Cricetulus griseus: one gene and its partner. The protein of the gene in region 2 interacts with the protein of the main gene of each other region in a pairwise test. Links are inferred from orthologs where the notes say so. Each region holds a gene or a part of one and is shown on either strand. Other genes may lie near its edges.

The links. The genes of interacting proteins can lie anywhere in the genome.
Region 1: the proteins of Fate1 (region 2) and Cd79a interact in binary tests that used the Homo sapiens proteins (3 or more experiments, as listed by UniProt). The two-hybrid records come from large-scale screens. The link is inferred for Cricetulus griseus from reciprocal best matches to the Homo sapiens genes FATE1 and CD79A.

Annotation. Positions count from the first base shown.
Region 1 is NC_048602.1:9,636,971-9,647,635, reverse strand, and holds Cd79a (B-cell antigen receptor complex-associated protein alpha chain), read right to left. Parts: upstream 6,301-10,665; coding exon 6,247-6,300; intron 5,745-6,246; coding exon 5,644-5,744; intron 5,474-5,643; coding exon 5,415-5,473; intron 4,747-5,414; coding exon 4,447-4,746; intron 4,235-4,446; coding exon 4,116-4,234; intron 2,570-4,115; coding exon 2,501-2,569; intron 2,359-2,500; coding exon 2,245-2,358; 3' UTR 1,968-2,244; downstream 1-1,967. UniProt on the Homo sapiens protein: Required in cooperation with CD79B for initiation of the signal transduction cascade activated by binding of antigen to the B-cell antigen receptor complex (BCR) which leads to internalization of the complex, trafficking to late endosomes and antigen presentation.
Region 2 is NC_048604.1:3,688,659-3,699,041, reverse strand, and holds Fate1 (fetal and adult testis-expressed transcript protein), read left to right. Parts: upstream 1-5,353; coding exon 5,354-5,459; intron 5,460-5,954; coding exon 5,955-6,082; intron 6,083-7,005; coding exon 7,006-7,112; intron 7,113-7,409; coding exon 7,410-7,485; intron 7,486-7,857; coding exon 7,858-7,989; 3' UTR 7,990-8,404; downstream 8,405-10,383. UniProt on the Homo sapiens protein: Involved in the regulation of endoplasmic reticulum (ER)-mitochondria coupling. Negatively regulates the ER-mitochondria distance and Ca(2+) transfer from ER to mitochondria possibly implicating it in the regulation of apoptosis.

The sequences.
Region 1 (10,665 bases), on a different chromosome or scaffold from region 2:
TGTCTCTGTCTCTCTCTGTGTCTGTCTCTCTTGTCTGTGTCTCTCTCTCTGTCTCTCTGTGTCTCCCTTTCTCTCTCTCTGTCTCTGTCTGTGTATCTGTCTCTCCCTCTTTATCTCTCTATCTCTGTCTCTGTGTCTGTCTCTCTTGTCTGTGTCTGTCTGTCTGTCTGTCTGTCTCTCTCTCTGTCTCTCCCTCTTTCTCTCTGTCCCCCCACCTCCTCGTCTCTCATTCTCGTTTTTGTTTTTGTTTCCTTTTGAGGCAGGGTCACGCTAGGTTGACCAGGCTGGCCTCGAACTCATGGCAATCCTCCTGCCTCTGCTTCCCAGGTTCTGGGTTGACAGGCGTGCGCGCCAGCCACCTCGCGGGGGTTTCCTCTGGGCTGTCTTTGACAGATGAGAAAACTCAGGTCCCAGGAAGGGAGGCTGCAGGCTCACTGCCCACCCCACCCCCGGCCCGGAGGCCCTCGGCGGCCGCCGGGTCCCCTCCCTGCTCCTCCCCACTTCCCCCTGCGGCCGAGGGGGAGGAGGAGGGCGGGCGGGGCCAGGGACCATGTACCTGGTGTCCGCGCGCGCGGGGAGGTGACCGGCGGGGCGCCCGAGGTCGGGCTCGGCGATCCCGGGCCCGGCGTCCCGGCTCCGGCTTCCTGGCTCCAGCGGGCAGGAAGTCGGGGCGTTTTTCCGGAGCCCCCGCCCGCCGCCCCTCCCCGCTTCCTGCCGGCGCCCCGTGCCCGCCCGGCACCTCGGCTTCCTTCCCCTTCTCGCTCGCTCGCTCGCTCGCTCGCCGGCTCGCCGGCTCGCCCGCTCGCCCGCGCGCCTCCTCCTCCTTTCCCCGCGGGTGCGGCCCCACCCCGCCCCGCCCGGCTCCCCTTCGCCTTTGTCCTGCTTTATGGCCTCCTGCCCCGCTGCTGCCCAGCTCCTGCCCTGGCCCTTCCTCTTTTCTTTTCTTAGTTAAGGTAAGGGCTCACTAGGTGGCCCTGGCCGGCCTCGAACTCCCAGAGACCCGCCTGCCTCTGCCTCCGCATCGCAGAGGTTAAAGTGAAAGGTGTGCGCCTCCCTGTCTAAGCTCCGCGCCTCCGCGCGCCCGGGCGGGCGAGCTTCACCGTCTGCGAGCCCCAGGCTCTCCATCCATCCCTTTCCCCCAAAGCTGTCTTCCTCCCTGGCTTCTGCTGCTTCAAACCGCAGCAGCCGGTCCCCTGCGCCTTTTATCACTCTTTTCTTGCCGCTGGGTCGCTCTCATCCTCTGCGACCTCAACTGTTGTTGCCCCTCAGGCTCGGGCTCACTGGCCAGCCAATTCCTGTCTGCTTCTTGGCGGGGTGGGGGGAGCCCGGAATGACTGTCTAGTCCCAGATCTCAGAAGTGCCCTTCTCTCTCTCTCTATCCCTGTCTCTGGGGACTCCCCGGGTCCCCCCCTTTGCCTCACTCCTGTCTTTAACCGCCTTCTTGTGTCTGCTCTTCCCGACTGAGTGCCCCTGGGTCACACCGCAGTGCCACTCTCCACCATCTTCGGGTTCTTGACATGAACTCCCCAAATCTGCCTATGCAAGTGAACCCATGAGAGAAATTAAGTCCCACCCCGAGGAAATAATACCTCGTGTTTTCAGAGCTTAAATATGCCTAATAGTTTGCTGACAACCCTGCTGGTTCCCCCTTGCTTAGGGCCGTGGAGAGGGTGAGGCCCTATAAAAGACCTAAACCAGCCCTTCAATTGGGGGTGGGGACTTCCCCAAGAGACTTCCTGTTTCTTGGTTGGGTGGGGGGAGCCCGGAGTGACTGTCTAGTCCCAGATCTCAGAAGTGGGCAGGTGAGAACTTGGGTCCAGAACCCTAGGTCTGAGGGAGGAAGGGGACGAGGACGGGCTTCCGGCTCCTGGTTCCCTGGCAGTGTTGAGGGGCGGTCCTCATGAGATCCATGACTCCTGCCAAGGGCTGCTTTGGGAAGGATTTATTAGCACTTAAGTGGCCATGACAGATCTGGGAGGAGGGGGTGACACTAACGAGGCTGCTGTAATCAGCTCCCCTAGAGGCAGCGATTAAGGGCTCATTACCCACTGGAGCGGGAACCAACCGGGGACAGACTTGGGGAAGGACAAAATTAGGTGGGAGAGTAGGGTGTGGCAGTCTGGAGGCAAGGGTGGCACACCCCGGAGAAGGGGGGACTCCAGGGAAAGAGCTGTGAGGCGGGGATGCTGGAGCTGGGCTTATGGCAGGTAGGGACAGAGGACACAGCCCGACGGGGGATGCCAGTCATGGCTTCTCCAGCTGGACATCTCCAATGTGCAGACTGCCCACGTCCTGATAGGTACCCTGGAGGCCCCTGGAGATGTCCTCATACATAGAGCAGTCATCAAGATTCAGGCCCTGCGGGGGACAGAGTAGACATCAGTACCCTGGCAGCTGGGGTCCCTGTTGCCAGTCAACCCCAGAGTGGGCCCCTCGGGCCTGGCGCCTCTCTCCCTCTTCCGGGGCACCGACCCCGAGTACAGTCCCATTCAATGCTGACCTCATAAAGATTTTCATCCTCATAGTCATCTGGCAAGTCCACTCCAATCTTCTCGTTCTGCCATCGCTTCTATAGGAGGGGATGAGATAGCCTCGGTGAGCAAGGAGGAGGCGAAGGAGTTTCCAGACCCTCTCATACGAGCAAGCGCTTTATCAGAAAGGAGAAGGCACACACGCAAGGCCACACACACTGGGGTCTTGGAGGATTCTGCTCTCCAAACCTCTCTTTCTTCTTGTGAGCCTCAGACTTTGAACATTTCTCCAAAGCATGCTGGGTGTGGTTGCTACCACATTCCACCAGCTTTCTCGGGGTTTCTATGTAGCGTGAGCTCCTGGGAACTCGTTAAGTGGGCCAGGCTGGCCTTGAACTCCTCTGCCTTCTGAGTGCTGCTGGGATTAAAGGTGTAACCCATCGTGCTGGCCCTCTGCTATTCTTCAGTGATGACAAGTATAATAAGTGGTGGTGCAGCCGGGCAGTGATGATGGGTGGGTATTTGTGAGTTCGAGGTCAGCCTGGCCTACGAGAGCTAGTTCCAGGACAGGCTCCAAAGCTACACAGGGAAACACTGTCTCAAACCGTACCCCCCCCCCCAAAAAAAGACTGAAGAAGTGGTGGTGAATGTCTGTAACTCCAGTACTTGGCAAGATGAGGCAGGAGGATTATGAATTCCAGGCCAATATGATCTATATAGTGAGTTCCGACCCAGCCTGAACTACACAGCAAGATCCCATCTCAACCTCCCCACTAAAAAAGGTGGCGCACGCCTTTAATCCTAGCACTTGAGAGGCAGAGGCAGAGGCAGGGGCAGGGGCAGGGGCAGGGGCAGGGGCAGGGGCAGGCAGATCTCTGTGACTTCAAGGCCAGCCTGGTCTACAGAGTGAGTTCCAGGACAGCCAGAGCTGTTAACACAAAGAAACCCTCTCTCAAAAGACAAAACAAAACAAAAGAAGAAAAGAAAGAAAGACAAAAGAAGAAAAGGAAAGGAAAAAAAAATACGTTGCCATGCAAACTTGAGGACATGAATTTGGTCTGGGGACCCAAAGCGGGAAGGAATGAGGGGACTCTGGAAAGTTATTCTCCAACCCTCATACTCACATGCCCAAACTCTCTCACACACTATCCATATATACACACTGATAGGAAATAAATAAGGGCAGACATGGTGACACACACCTTTAATTCTACAGCAGAAATTGAGAGGCATAAATAGTCAGATCTCTGTGAGTTCAAGGCCATTCAGGGTTATACAGTAAAACCTCATATATGTATATATATATATATATGTATATATATATATATACATATATATATATACATATATATATATATAATCTTTGCCTTGTGGCCTAAGGAAAGTAGGGGCTCTAGAGGGACTGCCCTTTGGTGGGACAGGAGAAGAATGAGAAGGTATCTAGAGAGGACCAGTGGGCCATCGCGACACCCCTTGAGCTCAGTGCCACTTAAAATCCTTTCATTACATTGAGGGGTACTCGAAGCCTCCCACGCTTTGGAGGAGGAACCTCAGGATCTAGAGGTCGGGCTGGACACTGGGAGTCACAGTCCAGGAAGAGGCAAGCCCAGATGACTTGGGGGGGGTGTCACTTGGGAGACTCACCCTGAATAGCAGCAGCGTTCCCGGGACCACTGCGCAGAACAGTAAGATGATCCCTTCAGCCGTGATGATTCGGTTCTTGGTGCCTTCCCCCATGTCCAGGAAGGGCCTAGGGACTGGCTCTGTGAAGACAGGGAGCGTGCTGTTCCGGTGTCCCCTCCTCTCCCAGCCCTGCCCCCTGTGAGGTCAGGGAGTCCTGAAGCCACCATCCTACAGGTGAGAGCCTGTGTGCTGCTGGGTGTAGGTCCAGGAGGGAGGAACTGGCTCCGCTCCCATGAAAGCCGTGTTCTGGATAGGACGGGGAACCCGAGGGGCGGTGTCCCTTGCTACTCACTACGCACTCGGAGGTAGGTGCCACAGGAGAATTGTGCCTCGTTGTTTTCTTCCACATGGCACCTGTATATGCCCCTATGGCTCTTGTTCACGTTAGAGATGACCAGCTCGCCTCTGGGCCCCTGACCAGGACCCAGGAACACTGCGGGTATGGAGTTGTTGAAGTTGTATTGAAAATCACCGTAATACCATGTGACATTAGGATTGTTGGCGTCGTGTTTGCAGGTGAGGCGGGCCTCATCCCCCAGGTTCACCGTCAGTGATGGTGGTACCTCTATCTTCAGGGCCTGGCATCTAGGGCCTGTGGAGAGACAAGAAGAGACAAGTGCGTCACAGGCTGGGGACAGCCCTGATTGCCCCAATCCAGAGTCCTTCACACCAGTGATGCTGGGAGAGACGCCCTGTGGGTTCTTGCCACGGTTACTCCTTTGCATTTTGTCCCCCTGACACCAGCAGTACTCGGTTCAGAGACTCAAGAAGGCCTTCTCCTTCATTGGGAAGGAATGGTTTCCATTTTTCCCAACCCTTAGGAACCCCCACTGGGGTAAGGGAGGGGCAGCATCACCCAGACTATTGGAAGTGGTGGCTTTCCCACCACCTCCCTGAATCTGTCCTTTCCTGGCCTTGGCTTGGCTTTTGTGCATAGGCTGCTTCTCACTTCTGTAATTTGGGGACCTGGGACTGAGTTCTGTCTAGGGGAGAGGGAGGGAGCTCTGAGAGACAAGGGTAGACTGGTGGCTGTGGTGTCCACTCTGTGTTTATCTTTTTTTGTTGTTGTTGTTTTTTGTTTTTTTTTGTTTTTTTGTTTTGTTTTGTTTTTCGAGACAGGGTTTCTCTGTGTAGCTTTGGAGCCTGTCCTGGCACTCGCTCTGGAGACCAGGCTGGCCTCCGCCTGCCTCTGCCTCTGCCTCTGCCTCTGCCTCCCGAGTGCTGGGATTAAAGGCCAACGCCCAGCAACTCTGTGTTTACTTTGAAAGCCTGCATTCTCAGCCTCCCCAGGACCACGCTTGCTTGCAGCTGTGTCCTTCCTGGACACAGCATGGAAGAGGAAGGTCGGAAGTCAGGAAGAAAAAGTGGGAAAAGAAGAAGCTGAGCAACTTGATGGTCACGGGCTGAAGACTCAGACTCAGACTCTGTTCCTAGTAACACTTTGAGGGGGTGACCTTCCCTCTCCTCAGCCTGTTCAGTCAACACTTACCTCAGTTCCTCATTCTTACTTGTGGAGATACGGTAGTGTGTCGTGGGGCCTGGTGGTCTTGGGCCTATCAGTGGACGTCCCTGAGCCTCCTCCAACCCATCCTGGGTACATTTGGGTACAGAAAGCTTCTCATGGGTCCCTGCCCCTGCTTCTTTTCTTTTTGGGAGAGGTCTCAGTAAATTGCCCAGTCTACTAGCCATGACAGAACTCATTACGTAGACCAGGCTGGCCTCAAATGCAATATTCCTCCTTCCCGCCTCAGTCTCCTGAGCTCTAGAATTACTTTAAAGGGTATGCACTATGCACCATCCTGTCCGGCTCCCCGCCCCCCCATTCCCTCTCCACCCTCCACCCCTCCTGTCTTCTAGGGCGCGCTCGGGTGCACACACACACACACACACACACACACACACACACACACACACACACCCCTGGCCCAGCACCTTCCCTTTGGCCACACTACCTAGGCAGGCTTCGGAGAGGAAGAGAAGGAAGAGAGGCAGGACTCCGGGAGCTCCTGGACCCCCTGACATCTCCCAGTCAGTCGGTTAGTCGTCTGGGTTGCAGTAGCCCTGAGGTACCAGATTCCACCCCAAACTCTACCTCACTTCCTGTTCGGCCCCACGGAGATGAGCTCCAGTGGCCTTTATCTGCCATGCGTTTCAGGCCCTGAGTTGAGAGGAACTGCCCTGCACCTGCACTGGCCACAATTCCCTTGAGTCTCTCGGGCTTGGGTGGGGAAGGGGCTGGTTCAAGGCCTACTGAAGAGGGACCCTTGCAGGCCTCTGCTGCAGGCAGGCTATACAGTCTGTGGTGGAGTGGACTCAGCGGAGGGGTGTGGTGGCTCATGCCAGTCATCCCAGCATTTGGGAGGCTGAGATTGGAGAGTAACGAACCAAGAGGCTAGCCTGGGCTACATAAGAAACAGGCAGATGCCAAGTGGAATTCTGTGAGTTCGAGGACAGCCTGACCTACAAAGCGAGCTCCAAGACAGGCAGGACGACGCAGAGAAACCCTGTCTCAAAAACAAAAACAAAAACAAAACAAAGAAACAGGCAGATGGGGTTGGGGTGTGGGTAACAGGGAGTTCACTGGCCAGCCAGTTTAGCCAGTATATTGAGCTCCCTGTGTCCATTTTGTTTTAAAGGTGAGGAACTGGATGGTTCATTGGTTAAGGGCACTCATTTCTCTTGTCAAGGAGCTAGGTTTAATTCCTAGCACCCACATGGTGGCTCACAATCAGACATATAAACACTAAATGAACCTAAAAAAAACCAAAAAACAAAAAACAGGCCGGGTGTTGGTGGCACATGCCTTTAATCCCAGCACTCGGGAGGCAGAGGCAGGTGGATTTCTGTGAGTTCGAGGCCAGCCTGGTCTACAAGAGCGAGTGCCAGGACAGCCTCCAAAGCCACAGGGAAACCCTGTCTTGAAAAACCAAAAAAAAAAAAAAAAAAAAAAAAGAAAAAGAAAACATGAGACAGGTGGCCTACTCCTGTATGTAATCTCCAGATAACCTGTGTTTGCTCTAGCACCTACATGGCAGCTCGCAGCCAGCTCTAATTCCAGGTCCAAAGGATAGGACACCCTTTTCTTTCTTTCTTTCTTTCTTTCTTTCTTTTTTCTCTCTCTCTCTCTCTCTTTTTTTTTTTTTTTTTTTTTTTTTTTTTGGTTTTTCAAGACAGGGTTTCTCTGTGGCTTTGGAGCCTGTCCTGACACTCGCTCTGGAGACCAGGCTGGTCTTGAACTCACAGAGATCTGCCTGCCTCTGCCTCCTGACTGATGTGAGCCACCAACGCCCGGCTTTCCTTTCTTTCTTTCTTTCTTTCTTTCTTTCTTTCTTTCTTTCTAAGATTTTATTTATTATGTATACACCATTCTGCTTCCATGTACATCTGCACACCAGAAGAGGGCACCAGATCTCATAACGGATGGTTGTGAGTCACCATGTGGTTGCTGGGAATTGAACTCAGGACCTCTGGAAGAGCAGCCAGTGCTCTTAACCTCTGAGCCATCTCTCCAGCTCCCTGGCCACCCTTTCCTTGTCTCTGTTGGCACCAGTCATGCACATGGTACACAGACATATATGCTCACAATATAACCATATACATAAAATAAATAAAATTTAAAATGTTAACAAAAGTTAACTCACAGAGATCTGACTGCCCCTGTCTCCTAAATGCTGGGATTAAAGGTATTCGTCATCACCTTCTAGCTAACAAAAGTCTGTTTTATAACAAGGAAATGGAGGTTTTTGTGTGTGTGTGTGTGTGTGGTTTTTCGAGACAGGGTTTCTCAGTATTGCTTTAGAGCCTGTCCTGGAACTCTGTAGATCAGGCTGGCTCCGAACTCAGAGTTCACCTGCCTCTGTCTCCCCAGTGCTGGGATTAAAGGTGTACGCCACCAATGCCCAGCTAAATGTTTTTTCTTTTTAATTATTTATTTTTAATTTGCATTGGTGTTTTGTTTTGCCTGTGGAAAGGCACTGGGTTGTAGTTACAGTTGTCAGCTGCCATGTGGGTGCTGGGAATTGAACCTGGGTCCTCTGTAAGAGTAGTCAGTGCTCTTAACTGCTGAGCCATCTCTCCAGTCCTCTGGAAATGGCTCTTTGAAGATACTAAGTAAGTAGTTAGGCAATTTTAGCATGTATGAAGACAAGGCAAAAAAAAAAAATCACTAAGATAGGTGTATTGGCAAATGCCTATAATCCCAGAATTTGGGAGGCTGAGACAGGATAAAGGCAAGCTCCAGGTCAGCTGGTGTCACAGACTGTGCCTCAGACAAAATAAGTCAAAGTAACAACAAAAGGGAGGCAGAGGCATAAGGACTGTTAAGAGTTCCAGGCTATGGGGGCTGGAGCGATGGCTCAGAGGTTAAGAGCACTGACTGCTCTTCCAGAGGTCCTGAGTTCATGGTGGCTCACAACCATCTATAATGCGATCTGGTGTCTTCTTCTGACATTCAGGCAGAACACTGTATAGATAATAAATAAACCTTAAAAAAAAAAAAAGAGTTCCAGGCTAGCCAGAGCTATACAAGACTGTCTCAAATAAACCAACCCAAAGATAGGAGCTGGAGAGATGGGCTCAGCCGTTTAGGAGCCGTTTAGCACATACAGTTCTGGTGGAAGACCTGAGTTCAAGTTCCATGCCCACACTTACATGTGGGTTACAACTGTTTTTAACTCCAGTTTCAGAGGGTCCAACATTCTCAAGTACCTGGACTCATGCACACATGTAGTGTGCACACACACACACACACACACACACACACAAACACACCTCCCCCAAAAGACAAAAAAATAAATGAAAGATAATTTGAGCTGGGTGGTGGTGGTGGTGCAAGCCTTTAATCCTAGCATTTGGGAGGCAGAGGCAGGTCAAGTCAGTGTCAGAAATGAGGAGTAAAAACCTGGTGTAGATGAAGGAGTTGACTTGTCTTCCAAAGGCAAAATGACCCATCATGCTGTTTGGGGACAGAGGCCTGTGGTAGAGACAAATGTGTACATTTGTCTCTGGGGCTGGGGCTGGGGAAGGACTCAGACAGCTTCGCTCAACCTAAAAAAAAAAATAGTTTTGCTGGGTGTGGTGGTGCACACCTTTAATCCCAGCACTTAGGAGGCAGAGGCAGGCGAATCTCTGTGAGCTCAAGGGCAGCCTGGTCTACAGAGAAACTTCCTGGACAGCCAGGGGTTATACAGAGAAACCCTGTCTCCAACAAAATTTCCTTTTCATTTTATGAGCCTGGGTGCCTTGTCTGAATGTATGTTATCAGATATCCTGGGAGCTGGATGGTTGTGAACTGCCATATAGACGAAAGGAACTGAACCAGGGTCCTCTGGAAGAGCAGCAAGTGTTTAGCTAGCTCAGTGGCCTCTCCTATTTTGACTTTGCAGTTTTTTTTTTTTTTAAAGATTTATTATGTATAGAACATTCTGCCTTCATGTCTATCTGCACACCAGAAGAGGGCACCAGATCTCATAACGATGGCTGTGAGCCACCATGTGGTTGCTGGGAATTGAACTCAGGACCTCTGGAAGAGCAGTCAGTGCTCTTAACCCCTGAGCCATCTCTCCAGCCCAACTTTGTAGTTTTCTTTAGTGTCTTTATTCCCTGATGTTTGGTTCTGTGCAGGGTATGGGCCTCTCCTGTGGCAGGCAAGGTTTCAGCTACTGAGTTACAACTGATGTTCCTTGCATAAGAGCTTTGTCTTTAATTACTTTTAAAATTATTTTATTCGTGTTTCAATTGCATGTACGTCTGTGGGAAGTGTCACCCAGACAGTGGTGAGCTGCCATATGGGTACTCTGGAAGAGCAGCCAGTGTTCCTAACTGCTGAGCTATCTCTCTAACCCCATTTTTTTTTTTTTGGGGGGGGAGTGGTGGCTGGAGACAGGGTTTCTCTGTGTAGCCCTGACTGTGCTGGAATTCACTCTGTAGATCATTCTGAGATTCATCTGCCTTTCCAGTGCTGGGATCAAAAGCATGTGCCTCCACTGCCTGGCTCGGCTATTATTTTTGTGTGCAGGTGTGCCTTGCACGTGAATATAGGTGCCCCTGAGGCTAAAGGCCATTGGTGTCCCTGGAGCTGTAGCTGTAGTTGCGAGCCACTTGACATGGATGCTAGAAACTGAACAAGTGTTCTTAACCCCAGAGGCACCCTCGACGTCATGGGTTTGGAGAGTATTTGCAAGGCTGCTTTGAATACCGTTTTGCATGCCCGAAATACCTCATAGTTTAAAAATAGGTCAAGTGGCCAGATCTAGTAGTACATGATTGTAATCCCGGCACTGGAGGTGGAGGCAGGATGTCATGAGTTACAGGTCATTTTTAGGTTTGGGCTACAAAACAAGAATAACAACTATTACCTAGGCTTCAAGAACCAGAGATCCTTTGGCTTGCCCGAGTTCAGCTGACTGGTCTTCTGAGCTGGTTTCTCCTGTTATGCAGGAACTGAGTTTGGCACTAAGAGTATCAGCAGGGTGGGACACACACCTTTACTGCCAGCACTCAGGAGGCAGAG
Region 2 (10,383 bases):
CACACACACACACACACACACACACTCACACACACACACACACACACACACACTCACACACAGAGGGGGGGCACATCAGTTTGTGCAGTTAAACGCTTTCTCTTTGTAGGATATAAATACCTTTCAGGGTTCAGTCTGAAACTTGCATGTAATTTAACTGGATGTGTTTGGTCCCAGTGGAGCAACACCTTAAGGAAAATAATGATACATTCCCTGTGAAGAAGCTTGGCTTGAAGGGAGAGAGCGCTTTCACCCCCATCCCTTTGTGCTAATAACACAGCTCATATTTTAATAAAGATTCAAGCCCTCTAGCAGATAGTTCATAGGGAAGAAATGCAGATCAATAAACATATAAAACTGTTCAGGTTTATTCATAATTAAAGCAATATAAATTAAAGCAACAATGAGATAGATAACATTTTTTCACCCATCATAATGATGCCCATTAAAAAATCCCATAATCCCTTTGTTAATACTGCTGTGAAATAAAAAAAAAACACTTTATTTCCTTGGTGGATCCTACTTTGTGCGTCCTCTTTGGATGCACTTTTATATTAGTTGGCCAGTATAACTCAAAGTCATCAACACACATGCCTTTGACACTCACAGTGCCACTCCCTGTTCTATGGACACATTCATGCAAAAAGGAATGCCCATAATAAACACTCAGTCCCACTGCTTTTTAGAAGCAAACAGCACTGGACACTCATGTTCACAAGTTTGAGGAGAAATTAGTGGGATGAGTTGAAGAGAAATTATGTACTTCTGTTCTGATACAGGTGGGGACTCCAGAACATACTGTTAACTTACAAAATAAGTTGGCTAATAGCATACTCCTCAGATATATGATTTCATTTGTGTGAGGTCTTTGGACACTGCAAACATAGAGACATACCTCTAACCCAGAAGTGTTCTGATCTCTTCCTTCCCATTTGCAAAGGCATCTGTCTAACTTCCATATGAGAAAACCTTGGCTTCTTCTCTGGGAGCCTACCATTGAAGCTTTCTGCAGCCCACTTTGCATACTTGGCCATGGCCATCCTTCCAGACCTGGGTATAATTGAAAACCTGGCAGAGCTGTAGACCATTGAAATTCCAACATTAGCAGAATAGAGAGTGGAAGACTTTCAGAGTATTTGGATTCCAAGTTTAGGAACATTTCAGATGGAAATTATGATACAGATAAGGTTATGTAAAGGGTAAGATGTTAGACATGTACTATGGAACAAATTCAAAGTAATACAGAGGATTGTGTTTTATCTCTCAGCTATCCTTGGCACCCAATGCAAGAGAAGAAGGTATACAAAGAAAGTAGAGTGGTAGTATTTCTGGATGACCTCAGGGGTCCAGGAATGGGGAACAAAGCCTCCCCACTCTTGCTTTGATTCAGGTGTTGGGTTCCTATGCCACCAGGGGGCAGTGCCTCCACATGCACAAAGGCCATTGTTCCTGTTCCCAGGAAGCCCCAGTGGGTCAAGTCCAGTTGCAGCAGAGGTGTGGGCTAGGAACCTTAGCTCAAGTCCATGTGTCAAGTCAGTGCTCCTGACTTCTGAGCTCTTGTCTCAATCCAGACCCTGTAGGGAGAAAAGACTATTAGCTCTATTGTCTATCAAACAGACTGTGACACAAACAATAGCATTGTGTAACCAATACTCAGGTCTTGAGGAGGAAGGGCAGGACAGGGTTCTCAAATAAAATACAGGATACTCATTTACATTTGAATGCTGTATTAACATGAATAACTTTAGTGTAAGTAGATTCCAAATGTTGCATAGAACACAGTACTAATGCTAATAATGATTCTTTTTCTTATCTGAAGTTCATTTATTTCACATATTTTTATTTGTTCAATCTGGTAACTGTGGTTGGACAGAAATGTAAGGCTCAGCTTCCGGAGCTCCTAGACTTTACTGAACACACTAGGCACTTTCTCTGCCACTAAGATGTGTTCCTCCACAAAGCTCAGGTTTCATTGTGGCTCTCCCAAGGAGAGAATTGTTCAGGACCCCAGGAATGCAGTAAGGTTGCTCTTATAAGATTTCTGAGCTGGGCTAGGGGTGTCACCAAGCCACATTCCCTCTATTAGTCCTATTTCCTCCCTTTCCTTCCTCCTTTTCTTCCTCCCCTTCCCCTTGTCTTAGTTCTCTCTTCCTCTTCCAAGCTGGGCCCAGCTGTGATTGATTCCTTTGACAAATAACCTTTTCTCTCTTCAGTGGCTCCAGGACTTAGAGCCAGGGTTTGACCATTAATAATGGTATCAGCCTAAGACACTACAGGGGAACACAGCAGACAGGATGCACATGCAGATGCCTAAGTATATAGAAGTTCATTTAAACAATTGACTCTGGGACTGCAGGGAATTTGGCTGGCTGGGAATCTGGGCAAGAATTGTTGCTGCTATCCTGGAGTAGACTTTTGTCTTCCTCTTGGAAACCTCAATGTTACAATAAATCTTTCCGCCAAAAGCCGCCAGAGCCCTATCGCCACATGGGCGGTCTCCACCAGCCGCCCGAGTTCTGCCTGCCTCGTGGATGGACAAAATAATACAGAGACATATTAGGCACAAAGCTGCTTGGTCAATGACTAGGATTTCTCATCTGTTAGCTCAGTCTCAATTATCATAATTAAGACTTATTTTTTCGGACGCCTTATTGGCGTCCCTCCTTGCTGGTGGATCACATTGCGCCACTGGAGGAAGAGCAAAAAAGGGGGACATTTCCTGTTTCCATTGCTTTTATATGGGTCTCCTTGCTATGTCACTTCCTGCCTGGATCACCACTTCTCTACTACATTTCCCAGAATACTCTTTGACTCCTAGTCCTGTCTAATTTGCTGTCTCATGGGCCAAACAGTATTTTATTTAACAATCAATAAGATAAACATACACAGAAGTACTTCTCCCATCATCTCCTCTTTTCTGTCTAAAATAAAAGGATAACTGAAGAAAACTATAACCATAACTATCTGTCTTCGATTCTATCAAAGACCACAGAAGGATAATATATAAACTCTAGAATTGGCAGAGACATCTCTCTACCTGGACAGTCACCCAAAGCTTCTCTGTAACGTTGGGGCATCCATCTTCAGCCGATAGGCCACAGTGTGTCTGGCATACTTCTCCATTTCAGCAGGAACCCTTCAGTACTGTCTTGTTTTGTAAGTTTAGCAGTTACTTTCTTGTGGGTCCTGCATGTCCAGTTTATACAGCAACAAACAGTCCAGGCAAGAGCAGTTTCTTGCTCAAATGGCTAATCTTGCCATGTTGAAAGCAAACTTCATAACGAGTTTCTTAGATGCCCATCTTCCTTTCTGACATAATTGGTGTGCCAGGAGCAGTTGTGTCTCACTGTCAAGAAAAACCCTAAACCATTTAAATGCCATATGTCTGTAGGTCTTTGAAAGGTTTGAAGAATACCTAACCATCTCAAATACATCTCTATATCTAGAAAACCTAACTAACCTAATTATAAGTTCTGACTATTATAGGTAAAAGATCTGTATAAACACAATACCTAAACAAGAGGAGACATATACATATCACAAAATTGACCTTAAAATTGTATCAATAAATGAAAATCTATACCAATGCAAAGTATTCATTCCTATATCCTATTCCCCTTTTTTTCTTTAAAAAATTGACTATGCTCATTATCATTTATAACCAACCCTATTTAAATGAAAACAAACATTTATAAACACTATTTGGGACTATGGGTGTCATTCTTTCTAAACTGCTTCCTGCTGATTGGGGGAGATGTTCATACCATTGGGATCATGATAAAATATAGAAACCTGACCAAGTCCTTGTTTTTGTAGTCTGTAAGGCTGTATCATCTCAGCTTCAGGGGGTCTTGCTTGATCAAACCATATTAGTCTTGAAGGAATCAACAGCTTTTCATTTTCTGTGGAAATACAAGCAAAACCTTTATTTCTAAGTACCCTGTCCTTAATCTTAAATTTTGAAGTTAGAACATTTTTGAAATGTATAAGTTGGATTAATTTAGCAGCATTTATAATCAAATGTATTTTAGCAGCAGTAAGTCTTTCCTTGGCAATCAAACAATTTAAAGAGAACAATATGGCATATAGTATCCAGATTCTCTGTGTATTTTCCGTCTTTATGTGGCTTTTTTATTACTTTATTTTTACTATCTTTCGTTTATTTTTTCTGAGACAGGGTTTCTCTGTGGAAATCTGCCTGCCTCTGCTTCCTTCAGCAAATCCTACCGGCGTGAGCCACCACACCCAGCTACTCTATTTCCTCCTGTTATTTTTTCTCTCACAAGCCTACATATATTTTTAAATGCAGTGTAAACCTTTAGAGGTTTTTCTTTATCTGGATCTGTCTGTATCATCTTGGGAGTGCTGAGTCCAAGGCCCAAGAGCGCCGGGACGGCGTGAGCCTATGGAAGCTGTTCCAATGCCTCTCAGCACCCTGACAGGGCAGGCTGTGGTGGCAGGTTTCCCTCATTCTCTGGGAACCTTGGGGCATGGGGTCATCCCACTCACTGACCCATTCCTTAAGGTTTGCACTTGATTCTTTCAGCACATTGGTTGAGTACAAGCACCTGACTGGGAGGAAGCCATTTTATTTAAAGTCCATTAGGGATAATAATCACAGCTGCAGTATACCTTTGCAGAAATACTGAGAGTTGAGTGTCTGATAAACTCACTGGGGATCAGAACCTGACTAAATTGACACATACATCTGGTCTAATCTGTAGAAAAACTGAGGCAGAGCTGAAACATACAGCAGGGTACACAAGCCCAGCATGTCCCTCTTGCCCCTCCCTGCTTCCTTCCCAGGATTCATATCAGACAAGGCCATCTACTTTGCTTGAAGACTCTGCATTGGAGGAGGCAGGATGTTCTGTACAGAGAAGCTCCTCTGATAGAGTGCTGTACCCTAGATTACTGGCCAGTCATGGGCTTGTAGAAACCATGATAAGCATGGGACCTGTCACTGCTTTGGGCACTTATGGATGCTTGGGCCGTATGCCAGCCCTTGTCTCTTTCTAGACCATGATGGAGGATGGGATCCTCCTACCCGTGAGTAGCAAAATCAAGGGGAGATGAATCAGGGCAGCTCACAAAAACAGTACCACTTAGAGCACTATCTCATCTCCAAGTTGCTTACACAGCAGAAGAGAAGGCGGCCACGAGACCCACCAACAAGATACAGTGGGAACTCAAGGTGCCAATCCAAGGCCTGAGCACAGAGAGGGAGAACTGGCTCCACCCTCTTGTGCCAGTATATCTCCCTCACATTTCTACCCCTGGAAGAGGCGAGCTTCCAAGTGTCTTCTCTGTGCCATCCACCCTGAACAACCTTACAAATGAATACCTGGTGGTGATGGCAGAAAGCCCTTCCAATGTCAAAGAAGGGTATAAAATGTCCATTTCTGAAGATCTAGGGACTGGAAACTTTGACCAAAGCCAAGAACAACCAGTGATGTCAGGTGAGAATCCCCTAAAAAGCCTGTTGGGTATAGTTAATCATGTGCGTTTACTTGTGCTGCTTCTACAACATCCCAGTCATTGTGCATGCTGTTTACTTAGTCTGGAAGGTTATTCGTTTGTTTTAGGTATTTCAGTGTTGATTTATGCTTTTCTTTTGCCATATTAGCTTGTTTTGGTTTTTAATCATTCATGAACCATTTACATATCTGAATTTACATGGATGGAAGATTTTATTATTGGTATTTCCTATTCTCTCATACATAGAGATGGTTTGTGTTTGGGATTTCATCTCTTGATCATTGCTCATGCTACAGAATCCTAGGCCCAGGGCCAGATTTTCAGTAAATACATACTGACCTGTTGAACAGATGGACAAATAGGCTGAGCATCAGAAGTGAATGGGTATTGAGTGATTTCTGCTGTTTTCAGTACCCAGAAAGTTCTGGTAAAACCTTTAAAGCAGTATTCATAGCAGTCTCTGTTCTTCTTTCTAGAAATGATGGAACGTGGGTCCCGGTCACTGGGAGGAATCCAAAGACGTCCAAGGGCAGAGCAAAAACCTGCTGGATCTGGTTCAGGCCAGTCATTTTGGAATGTGACTGGACCTCGTCCCAAGAAAGGGGTATTGACAAATGGTGGCTAGTTTAGGGTGGGAAGTTCTTACTTTGGGGCTCCTGTATTCCCATGGTAGATATAGCTAGAAGTTGATCATTAGGAGGAGGAAGCTTCCATATACCAATAAAGCAAATGAATGAAGGGTAGATCATTGGAAGGTTAGGGTTGTACTGTATAATGCTGGGACTTCAATGCTAGAAGTCTGCATGCCTAGCAAACATGTTGACTGGAAAATGCATCTATAGTTGACCCTCTACATTCCTAGGTCTTGCATCCATTGGCTCAATCGATCACAGATGGACACTGTCTGTGGGTGGAGGTGGAGTGATTACATCTCTAGAGAATACATGCAAGATGTTTTTCTTGCAATGATTATCTACACAATATAGTATAAGAATTACTTAGATGGCATTTACATTTTATTAGACATTATAAATAATATAGTAATTATTTCAATTATATAAAAAGATATGATTATGCTATATTCTAATATTATGACCTTTTACACAAGCAACTTGGGAATCTGCAGAGCTGCATAACCATAGTGAGGCGTTTATTCTAGAAACAGTCTCCATGGATACCAAGGGATGACTATACAATTCTTTATAAACTTCCAAGGTGTGAAATGATGTTTTCTTTTAAATTACTTAAAATCATCTTGAAGGTTTACATTCATCTTCAGTAGGTAGCTTGGGTTTTCAAGGGATGCCTGCATGTAAAAGTTCTACCAAAAGACAGAGAAGCCTGTCACTGCATTTTCCTTGGCACAGCACACAAGGCTAGAAGCTACCAATAGGCATGGTGTGTGTGTGGGGGGGGGCACAGGAAGATGAAATGACATCATGGGGCTCCTATGGGGTGTACTGTTGATTCATGCACAATGCGGTGCTAAAAGGGTGACTTGGAATGGTGTATCCTTTCTTTCTGTAGGGTCATCAGGTGCAGATGCCCCGGATGCCAAGAGATCACAGTCAGGTGGATGGCTATCTCCAGGAGTTTCCTGGCAACTTCCAAACAGGGAGGGTCCCTTATGAGCGGTAAGAGTTCAATTGTCTTGTTCCTAGCTACTGGGGGAGGAACAAGCAGAGGGTAGGGCCATAGGGACTAGTGAGCATCCGAGTCGAGAAGCAGATGTATATACTTGAAGTATTGGGATACTATTGCCTCCTGGCCATTTGGGATCTACGTATGCTTTGGCAAAGCCTCCGGCTTCTTTACTACACAAGGGAAGGACTGGGATCTTTATCCAAAAAGCCTTCAGGCATACCTTATTGCTCTGTGTCTTTTCTATGGCCACCAACACCTCTGAGCCATGTAACCTTTCCTTCCAACAGTCTGGAGGCAGATTTAGTGGCAGAGATTGGCCTGGAAGAACTCAATGGGCTGGAGATGGAAGTCATGAGAAGGCAGGTAAGCATCTGTTGTATAGTTGGAGGAAGCATCATAGTGCTTTGGAGTGGGTGATTTTGGCAGTTGTGAACAAAGCCACCCCCGAGTTTTCATAGCCTTTGTCCAAATCATATCCTGTAGCAAATGAAGTGAGGTTGGGCTCTCCTTTCTGTTCTTCTCAGGCCTCATGCCTTGAGTACCTCATGTTGATGTTCACCCTTGACTTTCCTTTATGCTGGAGATGCTGGACAGGAATTGGGGAAGAGAAAAGGATGTGGAAGGGGGAACAAAGATTCATTTTGGTTTTGGTCATATTTTCCCCCTACCCTTATGTCTTGCCTTTCTCATAAGAGTGATTCCTGCTCACAAGTCCTGTGTTTGGTCCTTCCACAGATGCAAGTGATTTCTGGGCGGCTGCGTGCCCTTGAGGACCAGGATGCCACGTGGCGCCATAAGGAGGCTGTGCTCTTTAGTTTGCTGGTCTCAGTCTGCATAGCCAACCTGTGGCTTTGGATGCGTCAGTAAAGTTTCACAAACACCACAACCCCATTAGAGCCATTCCTTTCTTTCGTCTTCCCTTTGCTTTCAAGGATGCCCTTATCCACGCCATTCTATCTCCCAGCAGCCCCCCAGGTAGCAGTTGGGTCATTTTACCCCTCTGCTTGGGCCTTCTGCCTGGAGATACGCTCACTCTATTGTGAGATTCTAGCTGCTGCGAGGCTAGGGAACCACTGGGTAGCACCATACAGGTATGCCTGGGTTGAGATGCCTCTCCTCTGGAGGAATTAAAGGATGGCACCAGCCCTGAAAGAAGCACTGACATAAACACCTAACCATCTCTGCTTTGTGGGCCTGGTCTCTGTAACCCAACATTGCTTTTCTTCCGTTCTCTGTGGGCAGGGTTTGCTTTTTGATTCCTCCTTTGTTTACTTCCACACCACTCAAGCCTTTGCTCAGACAACATGCTCAATAAATGCTTCATGACTGCAGCAAAACTTGGTGCCAGAAGTTCTTGACCTAACCTTACTTTTGTCAGGGTTGGGAGGTACAATAGGGGATAGCCCTCTGCTCCAAGACAGTGTGCCTAGAACTGGGTTGCTGCTATTGCCCCAAGGTCCCTGGTGTCCTCCACTGCCTATCATTCCCCACCCTCACTGTCTTTAGCCAAGTCTTCACACAGTCCTTCCCATTGGTGACATGTCATTGATTGTTTGTAGGACTTGTCAGGTGGTATAGTGATTCAATCAGAGAAAATGACATCGAAAGGATCAGAAACCTTTCCATTTTCCCAAAGAAAAAACGAGTTCCTGAGAGGAACTATGAGTCTCTGGGGTTTTCTAGCAAGACAGGGAAAACATTGTGCCCTGGCTAAGTTCTCCCTAGTCCTAAACTAGGGAGTGTCTTGCTTTCTACTGAATATCTGAGGATGGGGTCCTGAGAGAGCTCTAGATGCTACAGCACTGTCCTTTGTACTTATAGCCCTAAACGTCACATTTCAGATAGCTCAGTCACTAGGCAGGCTTACCTGGCTGCTACTCCTTTCCCTGAGACCAAGTGGTTGACACACATTTGATAGTTTTAAGGCTGATTGCCTATTGGCTTGGAGTTAGCACCTACACTATCAGAGTCCAGATTTGTGTGTGTGAGAGAGAGTCAGAAAGTTGTTTACAGATATTTTTAGCGCAGGAGGACTCTGGTGGAATGAATTGAAAGTGGCTTGATGACAGAAAAGTAACCAAGACAAATCTTTTTGGGTGTGGGAACCTAGAACTTTTACATCACCTTTGTGGCTAAGTGAAACTTCTCCAGGCGGCAAATCTATCAAGAATTCTCCATCTGTAGGAGAATGTGTGTCATCGGAATATGAAAAGAACTGTGTATAGGGGTGGGGGATGGAAAGAGTAGGAGAGAGGAGGTAAAAGAGAAATGGTGAAGAAAGAAGAGGCTTGAGTCCCAAATTCTATTTGGCCATTACTCTGTCACCTCCCTCTTATCCTTAGGGGACCCCATGCAATGCAAGGCTTCCTCTATTCCAAATATGCTGGGGACTGATGTGCTTCTGAGATGAGAATACAGGGCCTGCTGTCAGCTCAGTGGAACCCTAGACATGTGGCATTGAAGCCTTACCCTGCTAGAAGGTGAGAGAAGCCCACTTAAGAGATGCTTGGCAAGTTTTCTCTCTGGCCCCAGAGCAGAAAAGGTAGTAGGGTACCAGAGGAAACCCTTTGCAGAATTTAAAAAAAGACACTGCCTAATCATAAGTGCTTTGTACTGGGATAGTCAAGGGCACTGTCTGCACCTCTAAAAGGGCCCTAGAAACTAAGCCCAGAGTAGGGTTGGGAGATTTTGTGGAAGACATTCCCTCAACTTTCTGCAGCCCCAGGAAAGGATGGGGTCTTCTGCAGCCCCAGGAAAGGATGGGGTCTGTAATGAGTCTTTCTCTGTCCCACCAGATGGCTGCCAAATAATGACATGGAGATTCATTTATTATGAAAGCTTGGCCTATAGCTTAGGCTTGTCCCCACTAGCTCTTATAACTTATATTAATCCATTTATATTCATCTACGTTTTGCCTCATGGCTTTTTATCATTCTTTCATTCTGTATGTCTGACTCCCTCCATGTCTTATTGGCATCTCCTGCACACTGAGATTCATCTCCCACTTCCTCTTTCTCTTACTTGAAGTCTTGGCTATACCTCATCTCTAGCTATTGGACATTCAGCTTTTTATTACACCAATCACAGAAATATATTTTCACACAGTGTACAAATATCCCACAACAGGGGTCCACAATGCAGATGGTTAAGAGAAACAGGGAGATGGAACAACCCATCTGTTCACACAGAGGCAGCATGTGGCACTTCCTGCCTCCATCACAATGCTTCCACTGCCTTTGGTGTTGTGAAAGGCAAACATAG